Linked DNA regions of Styela clava. The protein of the gene in region 1 interacts with the protein of each later gene in a pairwise test. Links are inferred from orthologs where the notes say so. Each region holds a gene or a part of one and is shown on either strand. Other genes may lie near its edges. The genes, in order: translation initiation factor eIF2B subunit alpha-like, proteasome subunit alpha type-1-like and proteasome subunit beta type-1-like.

Region 1 (6,647 bases):
ACACAGGCAGTTGCTCTAGGTATTGGTTTTCTTCTAGTTGGTATGCTCCATCTTACTCTATATTTATGTCGAATATCATAATCAAATTCTGTGTCACCCATATAATCGATACAGTATAACCATGCTGAATCTCGCTTCCAAGTCTGTTATAGTAAAATATATCTAATATGAATATATTGTATTATGAAAAATGTTTCATATAGGTAATCGGCGAAGAACTAGAATAACAAGTTAATATGCTGCAAGAGGATATCCGAACTCCTTGCTCTTGTAGAACCTGAAAACTATTTATAGTCTATAAAATTAAACAATTACCGTAACTTGTTAGCTATTACAGATCCAGCCTTAACTTATCACCAGTCAAAGATTGTACATATAGGTACTCCTAAAGTATGCACACCAAGATGTCTCACAACCTGAATCTAACCTGGTACACAACCTGAGTTCACGTTGTGCGCCATCTTGGTGTGCATACTTCAGGAGGACCTACATAATTGGCTTCAACATTTGAGAGCATAGTTTAGTGAAGTTCTCTATATAATACACATTTGCATACACATTACACATATATAAAATTTAGCACAAAGAGCAAAATTCAAGACATACAGCGATGAACTTCTCTATCTGACCCACTCCATTTTCTGGAGTGAAGTTTTCACAAGACGACCATTCTATGTTTGGAATTCCAAAGTCTTCTTTATCTTCAAATATTATTGGAAGGTTGGCCTGAAAATATATATATATATATACGGTCAGTGATGAGCTAGAAAAATCGTAACAACCGGAACGCACCAAATTCGTGAAAATGTAATATATATTTACAACACGGCGCTACCAGTAATTTTGTCTATCGTAAGATAGAGCCGAAGAACTACAATGAAATTATCTGAAATATGACTTTTTAAAATTGAAAGAATATTCATACTAATTCAATACAAATGTTCACAAGGGTCAAAGGTCGGCAAAACATTCATTATACATTACTGCTGTGCACTAATTATTTGCCAGCTGAAATGTAAAAATAATTATGATGCAACAAAACATCAATTAATAACTAAGTTTCCCGAGGAAACCAGACTTTTCGAACCATAATTTTATTTTAACAACAGGAACGCAATGAACTGTCCAACAACCGGAACGCCGTTGGTATATGAAGCTTCAAGGCCTATCCAAGCCAGATTTGACATATCATATAAAATATACATACCAAATTATGTCTAATTTCAACTGAAACATCATGAACAGCTTTTGCTATTACGTCGTCGACTATTTTGAATGCTTCCTCATCAAATTCAGCAGGATCTTCATCACTCCATCTTACAGGCATTTTTTAGTCACAACAACTATACAGTAGTATCCCTAAAACCTTTAAACCTATCAATATGGTACTATGAAATTAATGATAACAAGGTAAAAATAGTGAGACACAAATGAAAGTCGCACAATTCACAACACAGTGATGAAAATGATTTATGAAAACTACAGGATTACATTAAAATATACCTAGTTCTCCAGTAAGCTATTGAATATAATCATCAACAAATATGAGCAGGTAGTCTAATCCAATGATCAGATTTTAGAATTCATATAAGTTTTATTGTCTATCATTGAAGGCAAGCGGATTTAAAATGTTCTCCCGTATGACCTTGTAAGCAATTCTTTCAACAGAACAAATTATCTGAATTTATTATCAAATATCCAGAGGGTTCAGACCGAACTCTAGAAGAGTAATTTTAGTTTGTTCCTGTATTTTAATTCCTTCTTGATCCCATTTATCCTTAGCTTCATCAATTTTTCCAATAAGTGAATCAAGCGAAGCCGTAAGGACTCCTTCGTATGATATTTCCATTTCATCGATTCTTTTTTCCAATATTCTGATTGTTTCGTTTTTTTCCTGTTCCATTTCTTCTTTTTCTCGTTTCGTTGTTTCAAGCTCTTGTCTTGCATTCGCTACTTGTTGTCTTAGATGTTCTACTTCTGTGTTTAGTTCTCGCATTCTAATGTCCATATCCGTGTGCATCGTTTTATATTGTCGAGTCAACTCTGCACTGACATCTTTTTGTTCCAATTTCTGCTCCTCAAGATTTTCCTCCATTTCATGAAGACGATTCTTCCAATCTGATGCTTGGGCTTGTGATCTCCGAGCAATTTCATTTCGATGAGCGAGATGTTCTTTCAGAATTTCAATTTCTCTAACAGTCTTTTTAAATTTGTCTTCTTCTTTTGCTACATCCTTCTTTTTGCCCTTCTTTCCTTTCTTTCCCTTGCCCTTTTTCTTTTTTGGTGGCATTTTATTTATTTACTATAATAGAATTTGATAGTGCTTGAATAAATAAGAAGTAAAATAAAGCATAATGTATATCAGGGGTCGGGAACCCATGGCTCGCGAGCCATATATGGCTCTTTTGATGGCGGCATAAATATGGCTCCCAGAAAAATCTAATATTGTAAGGCTAAGCTTACAATTGTTAACGAGTTTTCAAACCTATTTATAGCCAAATTTGCCAAGACGTTTGAAAACGTGCGCCCAGCGCATGTCTATGTTATTTGAGAGAATTACCAGACAAGCATTGTGACAAAACTAGGGGATTCTGGAATCTATTTTGTGACGCCACAAAGTGTTATAGTTTCGGAGCTATAGAGAAAAGCTTTTCGTCCGTTTGTACGTACTAATTACAGTATTTGTCATATTTAAATCAAACTAGTACAGAGATGCCTAAACGAAAGAAGGGTGATGGTGATGTGTATCGTAGATTTCAACTTGGCTGCATGTGAGCAGCCGTTGAAGCATCAGAAGTCACATTAAATGTATATTGACATTGTATTTGTTGACTTTTGAGTAAAATTTCAGGCCTGAAATGCTGTATGGCTCGCACGGAAATGCAATTGAAAATATGTACCTTTTATGGCTCTCTTGACCAAAAAGGTTCTCGACCCCTGATGTATATGATATATGGTAAAATCATGACAAAAAATCAGGCTGTGAGATTAGTTATTGCTAAAAATATTTGATGGTCTAATCACACTTTTGTGTACCTATAAAGCGTTAACAACTTATCTATCTATCTTAACTATCTAACAATATGAGATTAATTGTAACCAAAGTATTTCACATTACAAAAATATTATTCATTTGCAATATTTCAGTCATTTTCAATCCAAATATGGTTTCATGATGAGTCAACATAGGCTTTCCATTTTTTTTTGTATTGGCAGCAGTCAGTTCTTTTTGTCGGCTTTCCTCTCCTCCGGGATAAATATGTAAATCCTCCTCCTCCTCCTAATATACCTTAATACAGCTGTTCATTTCTCTCTGTCACGCATTAATACCGTACACATATAAAATTCCATTCCAGTTGTTATTATTATTTCTTATACATATAGAAACAAGTCATAGCTTAAAATAGTTACTAGTTCGCTTACTACATACCGGTAGCCTTGTACGAGCGGCAGAACACAAAATAAAACTCTCAGCCGAACGAAGCGTGTCGCGTTGTCATGGAGTTCTGATACACTTGATATTTTCAAGAATAATAATCCGGCCCTTGACCCCTTTGACAGTTTTCGTGACCTGGCTTCAATGACATTTATTGTCATTGCTGGCACCAACGACTAACATACGCCTGGCACTTTCCAAACGAGTTTACTTGTTTCATAACTATTTTTCATCACTACTACTAAACTGGAACGCTCCAGAAGACAAAACGACCAATGGTATTTTGATTTATAAGGTACCGGTACCAAAATTTCGGAAACACATCTAAAACATACAAACAGATAGCGACTCCAATATTTACAAGTTACAACCATGTCTGAAAATCTGTCTTGAGTACCGGTACCAGTATGTAAAGGGACACAACCATTGCGTCATGTTCCCAATCATGCTGTGCCGAATGCACTACAGGAGTGGTGACTCCTCTACGGCCCATGGGCCGGGGCCACATGGGCCGTGGCCCATAGCTTGATGGGCCGCGGCCCCATCAGGAAAAATTCAATTATCTTAACAAAATTTTCAATTTTTACCAAATTGTCAATATTCTAACCAAAAAAACATACTCCTGTAGTATGTGTACCAGGTTAGGGTTAGGACAAAAAAAATTCAGATTTTTTACATTATAGTTCTATTATGAGTTCGGGGACTGTCTGTGTTAGCCAAGTGAATAGTTTCTTTACACAACTTGATGGGCCCCGGCCCATGGGCCGCAGAGGAGTCACCACTCCCACTCCGAATGCATACCGGTATCCGATGGAAATGACCTGCGACAAAATTTGATTTTGGTAACTTGAAATTCTATAGAGGTAGTCTCATTAAGCTTGCTTAATTAGTAGGTACCGCTAGTAGCCTAGTTCTGTTGTAGTCAGCAATCAGCATATTCAGATATTACTGTATTACCGGTACCACAGTCAGGCAGTTGGATTATAAGAAGGATTTACAGATTTCTGGATTTATTAGACCCTATAATTTGTATTTGGCTTTTATCCAGTACCGGTACCGCACCATGTTCTTATATCTAATCATAATATTATTTTATAACTGAATAAAAGCTGTAAATGTCATCTGTATAAACATTTCTCAAAATATTTCGCAATGATTTTTCAGATATCCACAATCAAACAAAACTGGACCCTGTCACCAAACAGAATGCTCACTTGTTAAGTGTTAATAATATTCCATATCTGAAACAATTGAATCGTAATTCTGTAATTATTTCTTCCCAGTGATTTTCACTTACAGACTTAGCAGTGGCATACAAGGCCTTTTGGCGTAAAATACATTAGTGATTTGTACTCCTGGACTGAATAATAATAATTTCCTCTTTTTTCAACAAATATTATTTGAACCATATCTCTTTTTATCTTTGCAGGTATTGTTTTGTATATAGCAAGGGTATTCACAGAAAGAGATCATGAATGATGAAGAGATAAGTGAATATTTTTTGTCGGAATTACGAAACAGTACTCAATCATCTCCCGCAGTTGCTGCAATCAAAACTCTAATAGAATATCTGAGAAAGGATCATGCTGAAACATTATCAGGATTACGAGATAATCTAAAAAGTGCAATAGAAGTGCTTGTGAGGACTGACTGCACAGGAATTACACCTATCTTGTCTGGATCGGAACTGTTTCTTCGCTTTATCACCCTATCTTCTTTAGAACACTCAGACTTCGATAAAGTGAAGGATATTCTAATAAGCCGTGGTGAAATGTTCCTGCAAAAAATATCATCCAGCAGACAAAAAATTGCCAGACTTGGGTTGCCATTTTTGAATGATGGTATCAAAGTTCTTGTTCATTCATATTCAAGAGTAGTTTTGAACATGTTAATCAAAGCTATGGAAGCTCAAAAGCGTTTCACTGTTTTTGTCACTGAATCACGACCAGACATGAGTGGTAATATAATGGCGGAAAAATTAAGAGAACATGGCATCCCAGTGACTGTAATTCTTGACTCAGCTGCTGGTTATGTTATGGAAAAAATAGACCTTGTATTGATTGGTGCTGAAGGTGTGGTAGAAAACGGTGGGATTATGAACAAGATAGGAAGTTACCAAATTGCTGTTTGTGCAAAGGCACATAATAAACCCTTGTATGTTGCTGCCGAGAGCATTAAATTCGTTCGCCTTTATCCATTAAATCAGCAAGATGTACCGAATGAAATAAAATACAAAGCATCAACAATCAAGTCCAAGAATCTTGACCAAGAACATCCTAATGTAGACTACACTCCTCCATCTTATATCACTTTACTAATAACTGATTTGGGTGTCCTGACACCTTCTGCTGTAAGTGATGAACTTATCAAACTATACTTATAAAGTTGTAATGGTTGGAGGTTGAATATTCGCATCTGGGAGATACCACCAATACAGAATGGTGGCCAGTATTCCGAGAGTCATAAAAATTTTTGTCAAGATCTTGCAAGTCTGCATGGAATGCTATATGGCCATGTTCAGGTCATTTTAATAACACATCAAAGGTGCAATGTGGCATATCAATATTGGTGATAATTATTCGGATTCTAATTTTATTTTTAATTGGCGCGGTTTTGATTGAAGTTTTTGTTGTATGATCTGTTATATCACAGCAAAATTATTACTTTATAAAATGAATTTCAGAGGACTATAAGAGTACTTTCGAATGTCTTGCTTTGGTTTAGGAGAATTTGCTCAGAGTTGAGTCATTCATCTGAGCAAAATTGAAGGAGACCACTGAAATTCCAGCTTTCAGCTATTCCAGTCGCGAATGAATTAATAATCCAGAGAAAAGAATTAATAATGGGAAGAAAAATATTTGTTCCAGAATGCGGGACCCCCAAGTAAAGTTAATGATTATTGCCACATCGTCAGAATACAGATGTTTTTTTTATTCAGAAATGGAAAATTCTTTAGCTCTGCGTGCCTATGGGACATATCCGTTGATATGTCGGGTAGAATTATATTTGGTGAAGATGTGAGTTCTATCAAGTCATATCGACTTTTTTTCTACACATCAATTCACGTACTGGGTTGCAGTGTGGAAAAATTTGGTTTACCCATAATGTAATTTATAATCAGATGCCATGCCCATACCTCAAAATTCATTGCTCTTGCCGGCTGTATTTTGAACTATACAATGTTACTGAACACAAATAAAATCTCAGTATC
Region 2 (7,247 bases), on another chromosome or scaffold:
CATTTGAACGTACGTACATTTGCACCCGTAAACTGCACCTAGGACATTCGCACCTGCATACTTTTGCACCACCGACATTTGCACCCAAACATTTCCATCCATAGATCGTAGCACCCACATGTGGATTGCACCCGCGAACATTTGAACCCATGTGTATTTGCACCCACGTACATTTGCACCCACGAACATTTCCACCCAGGTACATTTGCATCCATGAACTTTTGCACCCACGAACATTTGCACCCATGAACATTTGCACACTGGATATTTGCAACCGCGGACATTTGCACCCGCGTATATTTGCACCCACGTACATTTTCACCTATGTTCATTTGCACCCATGCACATATGCATCCACGAATTCTTGTACCCATGGCATTCTCACGCATATGCATGCGCCTCATAACAGTCATGTTCGCGATTAGACAAACTTTAATTGCCAAATATAAATATATTTGAAAAGAAGACGGATTACAAATTTTAAGTAGCCCTTATTCTTAGTGAGAGTCGCTACGTTTTTATTGTCATTGCGAGTTATAATCCTTTCCAATTGTTCATGGGTGCAAAAGTATGCAGGTGCGATTGTACGTGGGTTCAAAGATAATGACAAACCGTTTAATTTTATCTTCACGTTGCTGTCTTGCGATGTTGTTACACTTCGCTAATGAAGCTCTTATAACGACGTTCGAGGTTATATTCTCCCACGACAGATATATTTTTACTATTCCTTTAGTTTCTTACTTTTGAAGAGTAGACTCAGTCTCATTAACCCAAGATGCGATTCAAGATTGCTAGCAGCCAAAAGTATCTATTTTCATGCTTTTCTCACACAAAAGGGTCACCACTAGTGCAAAATTGTTGACAGAGTATAATAAGTATAAGTATATTTTGATTTTCCCGCAAAAGAATCATACAAAAAACACAAGCAATGAACACACAGAAGATTGGGAAAACTGGCAAAACCTTTATAAAGGTTTAATACATGCGCCAGTTTGCCCACGTTCAACACACAAACATATATTCAAAATAAAAAAGACAAAGGCCAGAACGGGTATCAGAGTGTATTGATTAAAGAAAGAACTGATATTTGCCACGATTTTTTGGATTGTGGTCTTGCATGTCAAAGCATATTTATTTGAAAATTTTGTAATAAGCCTTAGAACACCAATGCTGGAAACCAACTGCATGAAAGATTAATGAAAACATAATATAAATCAGCAATTCAGACAAATTAATCTCGATAGAATCATGGTAAATTAGACACCTGTGACATACTATAAATCAGCAATTCAGACAAATTAATCTCTATAGAATCATGGTAAATTAAACACATCAATAGATGGGGTAAATGTAGGACGGGCTGCAGAAAGCAACACTTTATCCTAAACATTTATTTTGAAAAGCCATCAGTTTACTTATTTTGTAAAGATTCTAAAAAATCATGACCTATTCAGTTCTGTGATTAGCCCCCTTCCAACGAAGGGGCGGGAATATATGCATTTTATAGTTTCGTACAAATGTGTGAACATAAAATACTGCAAGCACAAGCATTTGGGAGAAAATAGTCTCTGAAGCTCGAGTCACAGGTCATCACAGAGCCTTGATTCAAATTCCAGAGTTGCAGAAAATTTCAAAAATGTGGTCAGTCATAGTGGATTTCAAAACAAAACTGGAATGGATAAATATGAGTAATATTGACACTAAGATTTGTAACTTCCATTAAACCAACTTAATCATGTATTAACAAATCATGTATTGACAACTTTTATATCGGTATTCGGTGCTAAAAATAACTATTTCGAATTTGGTACTTTAATAAGATATTTCCAATGTAACATCTACAACACAGCAAATAGTGTTTCTGTTGAGACGAGTCAATTGTTTTAGATACGCAACACTGGTTTGTATGGCCATCACATTAATTTATGGAAATTTACCAATGTATATTACAACGAAAGCAAAAAATAATAATTGGCAGTTAAACGATAAAATAAAACGCTTCCTTATGAAATTTAAACATAAAATGATTTGTTGAAGAATAAACTTAGGTGTGCTACATAAACAAGTTATCAGAGGCTACATAAAAAAGTTATCAGACAATTTAAAGATCTGCGAGGCAGTATTGCACTTAGTTGCTTACAATAACAATTGAAGAAAATCTACACTGCAATGTTTAAAAGATAAAAATCACAACCCCACCAAAATAACATAGAAATGTCTGGTACCATACCAGAATACTCCAAATACACTTGCAATATTAGTTCTATATAGCATATTACACTAAGCAATGACACTGGCACTATAGAAGTGTTAGACTGAGGTTTAATACTGCTTCATAGGAATATCTGCTTCTGCCATGAATACAATTCTATTATTCCGAATATTTTTTCCCCTTTTAATACATTTGAGTCAGGAGCAATGTATTTTTTAATCCTCCATCCACATTATAACAATATCCACCCCCTTCAACCTTGTCTCGCCTACATGACGCTCTCCATAGGTTGAATTCGTGTTTTGTTGTTAGTCCTATATGACAAGTAACAATTCCAAAAAAGTGCAATACTTTGTGAATACAACATCCTGCGAATAGGACACAAAATTGGTAAGTTGAAAAATGAAAACAAGTCATGTAATAAAAATAGTAAATGAAATCTTACCTGTATTGGAAAGGAACAAATTGAAAATTCACTATTTGAGCTGGGATCCATATCTTAAAAATATAACCTTTTATTTACACAAAACAAAAACAATTCATGAGCTATGGATATTGTATATTTACCAGCCAATTAATCTTCAAAACATCAGGTAAATCATGTCTGATACGATGTTTCATAGCCTTCGTTCCTTGACCAAATAATATGGTTTGCAAAACAAGGAATCCGAAGAGGAGGGGTGGAGACATAATGAACTAAAATAAGATAAAACAGTTTAATTTATGAACTCAAATATCATATGTATAATAATATAAAGTGTATACCTGATCCAAAAAGACATTGACTCCTGTTGAATATCCACGCATACTCAGAAACACATACCACATTGAAACTAAAGGACCCTGAAGAAATTTTAATTAAATCAATAAAGAAATAGCATAAATATCTGTGACTTATATTAAATATATAATATGACTAATTATGAATATTCTCATGATTCAGTTCAATTTGCAAACTAAGATGTGCACGATTTAAAAATTGAAATTTGACATATAATGAAGTTAATCGACTTTGAATAATACATAACAATAATCTTACAAGATACATTAAAGCACATGCTGCCATGATGGTTGTTCGTCGAAGGTCACAACCTTTTTTTTGCTCAACTAGTTTTTGTGAGATGACATCAGCAAATGTTGTGAGGATACCTTATATATGATAAGTAAAGCAGCTTTAAAAATACAACTCTCATGCCTGCATGCTGAGTGCAATTCCATCACTGGCACAACTGAAGTTATGAGAAGAAACAAGGTGTTTAAAAGATCAACAATGAATATCCAATAACAAAAGAGAAAATATCAGTAGATCAAATGAGTAATATGCAATAATGAAAATATGACATCTCAATTCATTCAGACAATACACAGATACCTGGATACAGCGGTGCAATACTATGCAGATATGGATCATGCACATCTGAGAACAAGTTGAAATGGATGGCTGGATGGGAACTTTTCATTCATAAACCAATACCGGTAAATTGAACTGTCTATTCTATTTTCAGCATTATTTCAATATAAAGACTGAAAAAAGGAAACGTTTACCTGCTGTGCCTGTTTGAGTTAGTAAAGGTCGTTGTTCCACAAGTTCTCCATAGGCTTTTAATAACACGTCGACGGTGAGTGTATTCATATTTCCCAACCTACCGTACTGCAAAACTACACACACTGATGCAGCGTTGTTTGGAAGATACCCGTAACCAAAGTCACTTTGCCCGTAACCTCTTGACGAACACTGACGAACGCTGACTGAACACGAAGTGAAATATGAGAAACTTTACTTCCGCATCGTGTTTCACGAATATTGTTTTTTTTTTATATTTATGTTATTAATACTTTAATAAATTTTGAATGTCTTCTAAAAATATATATATACATATAAAACTATTGTTAATTATCTTTGGAAACTGGTTTTGCAAAATTTTCGTTACGGTTCACCGAGAGCAAAACTGCTGAGCAATACAAGATTTCATGAATCATCATTCATGCGACGAGTTCCAGATCAGCGGTAGCTACTATATTGCTTAGTTTTCGTTTATTGATTTATGCTGCTAGATTAGTTCTGTTAATCCAGTAATTGTTTAAATTTGCTAAAGATGGTAAGTTGTTAAGATTAGTTAAAGATCTATTTATGTAGTAACAACACGAGTGCCATTTTGATAGCAATACATCCAGACATCTGTAAATGCAGTTGGAAACTATGCTCTATTTATATTTATGTGTCAAATCTTTTCCAAATAATTGAATTGACTGAATCATTTTAACCAAAATATTTGATTAATTACCGTAAAAGCAGGTAACTTCGGATGATTTCACTATATTATGAACAATTTCTCCGCCGTTTATTGTTCAATTGAAGCCAAACTTGGAATATAATACATTGAAGCCTTTCTCCTCGCGATAAACTCGGTTTCATATCAATCAATACTTTTTTTCATTCAAATTATTGACTTTATTTGCCTGCCGATCTGTATTCCAAATGTTTATAACTTCGGATGGCCACTTTTCGCTTTGCGTCACTTCGTCGTGAGAGAGAAATGTCTGCGTGATCAGTGACGCGTGATAACGTCGCTGCGTAGAACTTACGACGCCGTGATTCGTTTTGCGTGGTGCACACTGACGTTCATCTATGACGGCCGTTTTTGTTATTATTAATTCTTCCGGGTCGGCGGACATCAAAGTTTTATATATCTGGTGTACCCGTGTGTTTACATCGGCAACAGCTCTTGAAGACAAGAAGGACTGATTTCAAAACCCAAATTAATTTTGTTCTGATTTAATCTTACGTGTTGGCTTTGATCTTACTTATCACCGTTTGTATACTATTAATCGTTCGAGTTTAAAGCGAACGGTGATATTATTATCGTCGCCGAGATGGAGATATTTATTAAGACGATGATTGATGTTGTTATGCTTTGCACCCGCGATTGTGCGAATACTGAATTTTTATTTATAATAATGATTGAATAAATCGGCCGTTATGCATTTATACTTGGCATAAGGCTTTTGGTCCTGATAGCGGGTCGGACACTAATTATAACTATTTCCCTCAAGTTTTAACTTTTTTTTTGAACAAAACAATACCCCAACGGTTATTATAGCTAAAACCGTTACCGACTAATTCACAATTTTATCTGCGGAATTTGCGAACTCAGCACTTTACTCGACGATTTTGACAGTGTCGCGCCATAATTATTACCGCTAAATGCTTCAAAATACAACGCATGTAATAATTTTGCCCAGCCCTATTCCTGACGTTTCGCAAAACTAAACCATTTATCTCTTGACTATTCTTAATTTCATGAAAGTGCTATATCTTGCTATTATGATCGTTTCAATACGAAACAAAAATGAGACAACATGGGACAAATGAAAATAAAAAACGGACGAATAAAATAAGTCGTAAAAGTAAAAATGGAAAACAATTTTTAATACAAAACAAAAATGAAACGAATGAAAATAATAAAATAGAAAAATGGATGATGAATTACGGTAGGTAGTAAAAGTAAAAAAAATGGAAGTGGACAACAATATGGAACAGTGTAGCTTGTGGCCGTGTTGATAATTCAGATATAATGTATTCACAGGCAGATAGACATGAAACGGATAAAAACGCCAAAAACCTCCAATCTCCTGCTGTGTGCACCTGTGCAGAGTTTCATGCTCACCTGTGCAACATTCTACTCTTAATATATTATCATCGCCGATCGTAAAACCTTGTCATTGTGATAGTATAGATACGCGTATCTGGCTGTTCATCAGCCTTACGTATCAACAACATCTACACGGTCGAAGAATGCCGAAATGTTAACACACAAATTTAATGTGCATTAATCGGATTCACAATAAATAAACAGCATATGACCGGGGCTATAATTAAGTTTTTGTAGGATTTGGTGACGAGGATCAGGTAGGAGTTTTCACTTTATATTTAACTACACGTGGCGCCACATAGTCTGGCGTTCAAATGTCGCAGCGAGTTACGCACGAGCTACGCAATGTGACGTCGGCCTTAAATGGAGCGAAATTGAATCACGTTGTTGACGTCACGTTCAGCGTAAGCACCGTAACGTCGATATTTTGACGAAATTTTTAAATCAAAATAATATATTTTACTTAAATCTCGTACGACATCTCGTGATCACTGTAATTTTCCTTGTACATTGTGTATGCCCTCTAGCGATTGACGGTCTTTTAGTGAAGTTAGCGTCGATAGAAGTCGCTATTTTAGCCGCTCAAAAGCGAGGTGTCAATTTTTGGCAAAAAGGTGATTTTTTGTGTCAAAAAATAAATCCTATTAGGCGACTGAATATGATAAGAGATTAAGATATATAAGGACTCTCTATAGAAACTGCCAGAAGCAGAATATGACGTAATTTAGTCGAGATATAAACGATTGAAAATTTCATCCGAAGTTATAAACCATCCGAAGTTACCTGCGTTTACGGTATGTACCTGTGATAAAGATATTTTTGAGGGAGTCTTCATAATATCGATAAAAATTTTCATGAAATAAGTTACGGACTTTGTAGTTTGATATTGATGTTTTATTAAAAATGAATAAAAAATTGCCTTGTACAGTAATAAGCCATTTTGATGCCAGTCACACATGCATTTTAAGCTGACATGTTCTCGTACAGCCGTATGAGCATCAAGTTTCCAAATTCATCATTACATTGTAGACTACAGTTGTATCGTATACCTGCTTATCGGTGATAACATATTATACCTATATTATTATTTTGTTTCATAAACACTGCAAACTCGCAATGCAAAATCTTTTTGTTTTAGTTTCGAAATCAATATGACAATGATGTGACAGTTTGGAGCCCACAGGGACGTATACACCAGATTGAGTATGCAATGGAAGCTGTGAAACAGGGATCTGCTACGGTGGGATTGAAGTCAAAAACACATGCAGTAATTGTTGCACTAAAGGTAATGGGATTCAAGTGAAAGAATATGAAATTGAAATAAACCGATTACCGGTAGTATTCTTCAGGAGATAGGATAATAGATAAAGTTCACAGATTTT
Region 3 (5,659 bases), on another chromosome or scaffold:
ACTTAATAATTTGAGGCGAGTAAACACGTACCACTTCTTCTTGGCAAAACCTTCCATCTTATATTTTGTAAGTTATAAACCTTATCTAAGGTTTCGTTTGCTCCCCTGATTTCATAATCAGTTTTTATTTATTTGTTTTTATCTGTCAAATGTATTGTTGTGCTGATTATGGAGTCGAAATAAATTTATTATACTTATATTCAATTTTTATGTATTCCAAGACGTTGAATGGTTTACATGAATATTTGTTAAATGTAATGTACAACTAAGACATTGCAATATCTCAATGGCAATAAGCATTTATGCAATATTGCATTCACTACATTGCGTTTGTAAAAAAAAACAATCGAAATCCTGTTTTAGGGTCCTGGTTCTCGTTGGTACTAGGCATCATTTGAAAATAGTTGGTAGGTATGGTTCAGCAAATGGCAATATTTACACAATCATATGAAGCAAAATAAGGATGAACTTTCCTGATTTTGCACTAGCGCTTGACTTGTTACTGTTAGTATACAAAAGTTCATGGTACAACCTCCACAAATGTTCAACCCAAACAAGCACAACAATACTAATCCAACATTGTGGATTTGTCAACAATCATATTTCACATAAAAGGTGTCAATACTTTTATAATACAATGCATACGAAGAAATTTATGAGATACTCGCACAATTGCAATATACCAATCTCCACAATGGTCTCATATTTAGCAGAAGCATATAACTAGGTTAGACAATCTAACCAATAGATGGAAAGCTGAACAAACCTCCAGTTTTAGCTTCCATCGCATTGTTGGATTAACATGCATAACTGAGGAAAGAAAGTTGAAGCAGTTAACATGAAGGTATTTCATACAAATCTCCCAGCAATTGCAATGACTTTAGAAATTTGTACTCTCTGCTTTGCAGATTGAATTCCTCTAAGAAAAGATGGCACTGGGACTGTAATTCTTGTGCCATCTGGAGTACCATCATCATTTATTAAAATTACATTATTAGAATCCATTCTGGCTTTCATGGGGCCCATTGATCTCTTTTGACCAATAATAAGTGCTCTTTTCATCAGTCCTCCTATTGCTAAAAGTACAGTGTCACCCACCCTTCCATATCCAGTTTTATGGTAGACTTGTATCACTCGGGGATAACGATAATAGCTCTGCAATGCAAGTGCACTATTGTCAGTTACCCTTACCCGGGTAAGTTTTTGAAAAGCTTTCCTCTGCATAGCCTTCGTTTGCCGATGTCTGTCTCTAACATTGCCTGGGTGATGTTTTTCTCCGAAATTCACATTTTCATAAAATGTTTGATTGTCATAATGTGCAGCATTTGGTGCCTTTACATTGCAGCATGTGTAGAATCCCCTGTTGAAATTTTTTACATGATAAAAATATTTCATAGAAAATAAAGAGGTGAGCCAAAAAATAATCTATTGCCTTGACAGATAAAATAACCACCAATAATCATTTTTTTCCTGTGATTTTGAATTTTAACATAATAAAAATTCATTTTACCTCACTGCATTAATTGAAGGGTTGAAGTATCTAAGAATGCTTTGCATCTTTTAATCCACAGGATTTTAACTTGTATCTGAAGACATCCAATAGTATTATGCTTGTTTAAACCTACCAATGAAATAAGTTGGTATGAGAAATCAGGATAGAAACCGAGGGTTAGCAGAGGTCACGATGAGCCAACCACTGAGCTAAGAAATAATCAAAACTGATCACAGAATCAGGTGAGCAAACAAAACTTGGGGTCTGGTATAGTTTAGTACCACATACCCTTCTAATTGGCCTGGCTTAACAATTTTTGCATATGTCATTTCTAACCCTCACATGACTATGTCACCGAAAAATTATGCCATTGCGACATCACAGTTACATAATAAGGCCCACCAAAGTAAGCGGATGATCGTCCAAAACGCGCAGAAAGATCACCGGCGCTAGCGAGTTTGTTATCGGCTGCGCAGATGACATATCGGGCGATCGTAATGATACTTTGGCAAGCACGATGACGTGAAGGTGACGTAATTTTTGCTACAGGAGTGGTGACTCCACTACGCCCCATGGGCCGGGGCCACGGCCCATCTAATTGGGCCACATGGGCCGTGGCCCATCAAGCTATGGGCCGTGGCCCCGTCAGGAAAAATTCAATTATCTTACCAAAATTTTCAATTTCTACAAAATTGTCAATATTCGAACCAAAAAATAAACTCCTGTAGTATGTGTACCAGGTTAGGGTTAGGGCAAAATTTTGTTCAGATTTTTTACATTATAGTTCTATTATGAGTTTGGGGACTGTCTGTGTTAGCCAAGTGAATAGTTCCTTTACACAACTTGATGGGCCACGGCCCATAGCCTGATGGGCCTAGGCCCAATTTGATGGGCCGTGGCCCCGGCCCATGGGCCGAAGAGGAGTCACCACTTCCACTCAATTTTTGGATGGCCTAGTCAGGTGAGGGGTTAGTAATAACATATGCAAAATTCGTTATGCTACGCCTACTGGAAGTACTTGCGGTACTAAACTATACTAGACCCCAAAACCTCATGTACTGTTTGAGACATACAGATTTAAAATTGTGAGTAAGGGGCTGTCAAAAGAAGTGATACAATGTTCCTCACCTAAAATGTGTTAAATTAATGAATACACGCACGCACAAGGCACACACACATACAATCACTAAGACATAATAACGAAATAAAAAGAGAAAAAAGATAAACATAGTAGTCTATGTTATTGCATTCAAAAACATGATGATGTCTGAGTATTAGGTGGTTACCAAACGTTAATAAAAGACCATGAAAAACAACTGTGACAGACAATGAAGGCGGCAGTCCAGTAAAAAAATAAAAAGTTTTATCAATTCTGAAATTAGACCTGTTTCAACTGATCACAATGATAAAGGCAGCATGAGAAATATGCCCCTATACAGGCACCCAACAATATTGTAAGATAAATTTGTCAAGTACAGAAGTCAGCAAGTATCGGTATCGTACCATTTGCATTTTGCACACTCAATACAATAAAATATATTTCGGAACTTTATTCTCGGCAATTTAATTACTCCAGCACTGGCAAAACATAAAATGAAGGTACCGGTACCGCAGTGATGTGTTAGTTTATGTTGCTAGTCAAGGTACTTATGAAAATTTTCACCTGGCTAATCCACCCAATTTCAGTATAAGTCAACAAGAACAATCAGTGTTGTATTCTCCCTGAGTACAACATAAATTTCAACGTGAAAATCTGGCACGGCATGACGAATTCAGCCATCCGTTTGATGATACGGCAATTTATTTTAGCTGCGTCATTACTAAATAATACGTTCTGTTGTAATTTTCGATTCGATCGGAGGCTGAGCGACTTTCGTGTTTAAAACTCTACGTTGTAGCTCAAATTACGGTTAGGTTGCGCTGCTGACTCTATACTTATAAGTTAGCTGTATAAGCATATTACTGTGAAGAACATTTAAGATTTTAAAATCTACGTTAAAATCTTAGATAGTCTAGATCTGTAATTTTTAAATCAGTTTCACATTTTCCAGATTTCAGAATCTACCGGTATTGAAATAAGCAACTTTGGTATTCAGGTAATCTATTTTATAGGCAGTGAGGTTTATTACCACCCATAGTCTGATAATGTCAATTATAGTACCGGTACCGTATGGCGAATCACGCTCATCATTAGGAATACGGTACCGGTAGCGGTACCCTTGCCATCGCACTTCTGATTAGTGTGCTTGGGTTTGTAAGCTTGAATTCCGCCCAACTATGTCAGTATGTGGAAGAGGACTGTTGTAATTCTCCATCATTGAGTCCATATGTCTAAAAACAAATAAATGGCGGACTAATCCCATATCGATTGTGACATTGTAGTCAACTTCCTCTCCCTCTGGATAAATATGTAAATCCTATTGCAAATATGGATAGGATGTAAATAATTTCATATTTTGCCTTTGAAGAATTTTTAGTTAATTCCCTACTTTTCCGTGTCAACTATTGAAAGTAAAAAATGTGGTGTTACGAATTTCTCATTGTTCGTTAGCTGTGGTGCTTATATATTAAAATTATTCTATATTAAATACTCACTTATTATTATTTTATGATTAATTATGCACGATACAGGTCAAAAATAAAAAAATGGATAGTATTGGAAAACTTCAAACCTATGGAATCAATGCACCAAAGCAGCAACATTTTTCCCCATATGCTTCAAACGGTGGTAATACATTGGCGATTTCTGGAGATGATTTTGCCATAATTGCAGCAGATACCAGGCTGAGTCAGGGTTTCTCTATACACAGCCGGGAAGAACCAAAAACTTTACAGCTAACCCCCAAAGTTGTGCTGGGAGCTGCAGGTTTTCATGGAGATAGTCTGACCCTAAAAAAGGTCATACAAAATAGAATAAAATTATATGAGCATGAGCACGGCAAGAAGCCAAGTGTCAGTGCAATAGCCGCCATGCTATCAACCATCCTTTATTACAAGCGATTCTTTCCTTACTATGTTTACAACCTGTTGGCTGGCATAGATGATGAAGGCAAAGGTTGTGTGTATTCATACGATCCGGTTGGATGTTATGAACGTGAAGCATATAGGGCAGAAGGTTCAGCTGCTGAATTGTTGCAACCTCTTCTGGACAATCAGATAGGTATGTTGTAAAGTAACATGGATATAATATAACAATGATTTTTTAACGAGTTAAAAAATGACATGATTAAATATGCTTTTTTAGGTTTCAAGAATATGGAAAATGTTCCGAAAATACCTCTTACGAAACAGAAAGGTTTACAGCTAGTAAAGGATGCTTTCATATCTGCTGCTGAACGAGATATAACGACTGGAGATAGTGTTCTTATCCATATTATTGATGCCAATGGTGTGAAGACAGAACGATTCCCTCTTAGAAGAGACTGAGTTTTTCTACCAGGACTTTCTGTGACATTATTAGCACTATCTAACAGTGCAAGATGCTCAAAAAAGTTCATTTGTCAGTAAATGTGAGCATTTCGAAGCTTGTTTGAAAAAATGCTTTGCATTTTATTACTAAATTACATTCTTGAATATAAAAGTGTATGAATGATGGGTATTACATTAGAGAAGTTTCAAAGGAATGTTTGGTGTTGCATGCATTTCAATGGTAGTCTTGACTGCCCGTCCGTGTACATTTAGAGCCAAAATATGTCAAATAGCGCCTGCTTGGGGAATTAAGAATACTATTTGCCGAGCCCACAACAGAATTTCACCTGGTCTGTAGGATCATTTTTCACACCTTTTATTACTAAATTACATTCTTGAATATAAAAGTGTATGAATGATGGGTATTACATTAGAGAAGTTTCAAAGGAATGTTTGGTGTTGCATGCATTTTGTTTAATATGCGCAGTTCCATGCATTTCAATGGTTAGTCTTGACTGCCCGTCCGTGTACATTTAGAGCCAAAATATGTCAAATAGCGCCTGCTTGGGGAATTAAGAATACTATTTACCCACAACAGAATTTCACCTGGTCTGATGTCTGCAGGATCATTTTTCACACCTCGCCAGCTACACCCAATTAATATCTCTCTGGAGAATCTATCCCCTGACTATCATGCAAGTAGGTGACCTCTGCATATAGTAATATCCAAGTTTCATGGATGAAAAATACAACAAAATT

What was found.
Region 2: the proteins of translation initiation factor eIF2B subunit alpha-like (region 1) and proteasome subunit alpha type-1-like interact in a two-hybrid assay, tested with the Caenorhabditis elegans proteins (4 studies listed by BioGRID). The link is inferred for Styela clava from reciprocal best matches to the Caenorhabditis elegans genes eif-2Balpha and pas-6.
Region 3: the proteins of translation initiation factor eIF2B subunit alpha-like (region 1) and proteasome subunit beta type-1-like interact in a two-hybrid assay, tested with the Caenorhabditis elegans proteins (2 studies listed by BioGRID). The link is inferred for Styela clava from reciprocal best matches to the Caenorhabditis elegans genes eif-2Balpha and pbs-6.

Annotation. Positions count from the first base shown.
Region 1 is NC_135258.1:9,394,807-9,401,453, forward strand, and holds translation initiation factor eIF2B subunit alpha-like, read left to right. Parts: upstream 1-4,280; 5' UTR 4,281-4,299; intron 4,300-4,865; 5' UTR 4,866-4,907; coding exon 4,908-5,819; 3' UTR 5,820-6,120; downstream 6,121-6,647. Other genes in the region: A-kinase anchor protein 14-like, read right to left, coding at 1-143, 607-726, 1,208-1,327; dynein regulatory complex protein 12-like, read right to left, coding at 1,691-2,290.
Region 2 is NC_135255.1:11,108,379-11,115,625, forward strand, and holds the start of proteasome subunit alpha type-1-like, read left to right. Parts: upstream 1-4,152; 5' UTR 4,153-4,308; coding exon 4,309-4,311; intron 4,312-7,003; coding exon 7,004-7,150; intron 7,151-7,247. Other genes in the region: mitochondrial inner membrane protein Mpv17-like, read right to left, coding at 2,481-2,580, 2,658-2,710, 2,780-2,908, 2,978-3,055, 3,252-3,361, 3,758-3,845. UniProt on the Caenorhabditis elegans protein: The proteasome is a multicatalytic proteinase complex which is characterized by its ability to cleave peptides with Arg, Phe, Tyr, Leu, and Glu adjacent to the leaving group at neutral or slightly basic pH.
Region 3 is NC_135255.1:8,349,043-8,354,701, forward strand, and holds proteasome subunit beta type-1-like, read left to right. Parts: upstream 1-4,122; 5' UTR 4,123-4,138; coding exon 4,139-4,652; intron 4,653-4,736; coding exon 4,737-4,918; 3' UTR 4,919-5,072; downstream 5,073-5,659. Other genes in the region: large ribosomal subunit protein uL14m-like, read right to left, coding at 850-1,360, 1,511-1,557. UniProt on the Caenorhabditis elegans protein: Non-catalytic component of the proteasome, a multicatalytic proteinase complex which is characterized by its ability to cleave peptides with Arg, Phe, Tyr, Leu, and Glu adjacent to the leaving group at neutral or slightly basic pH.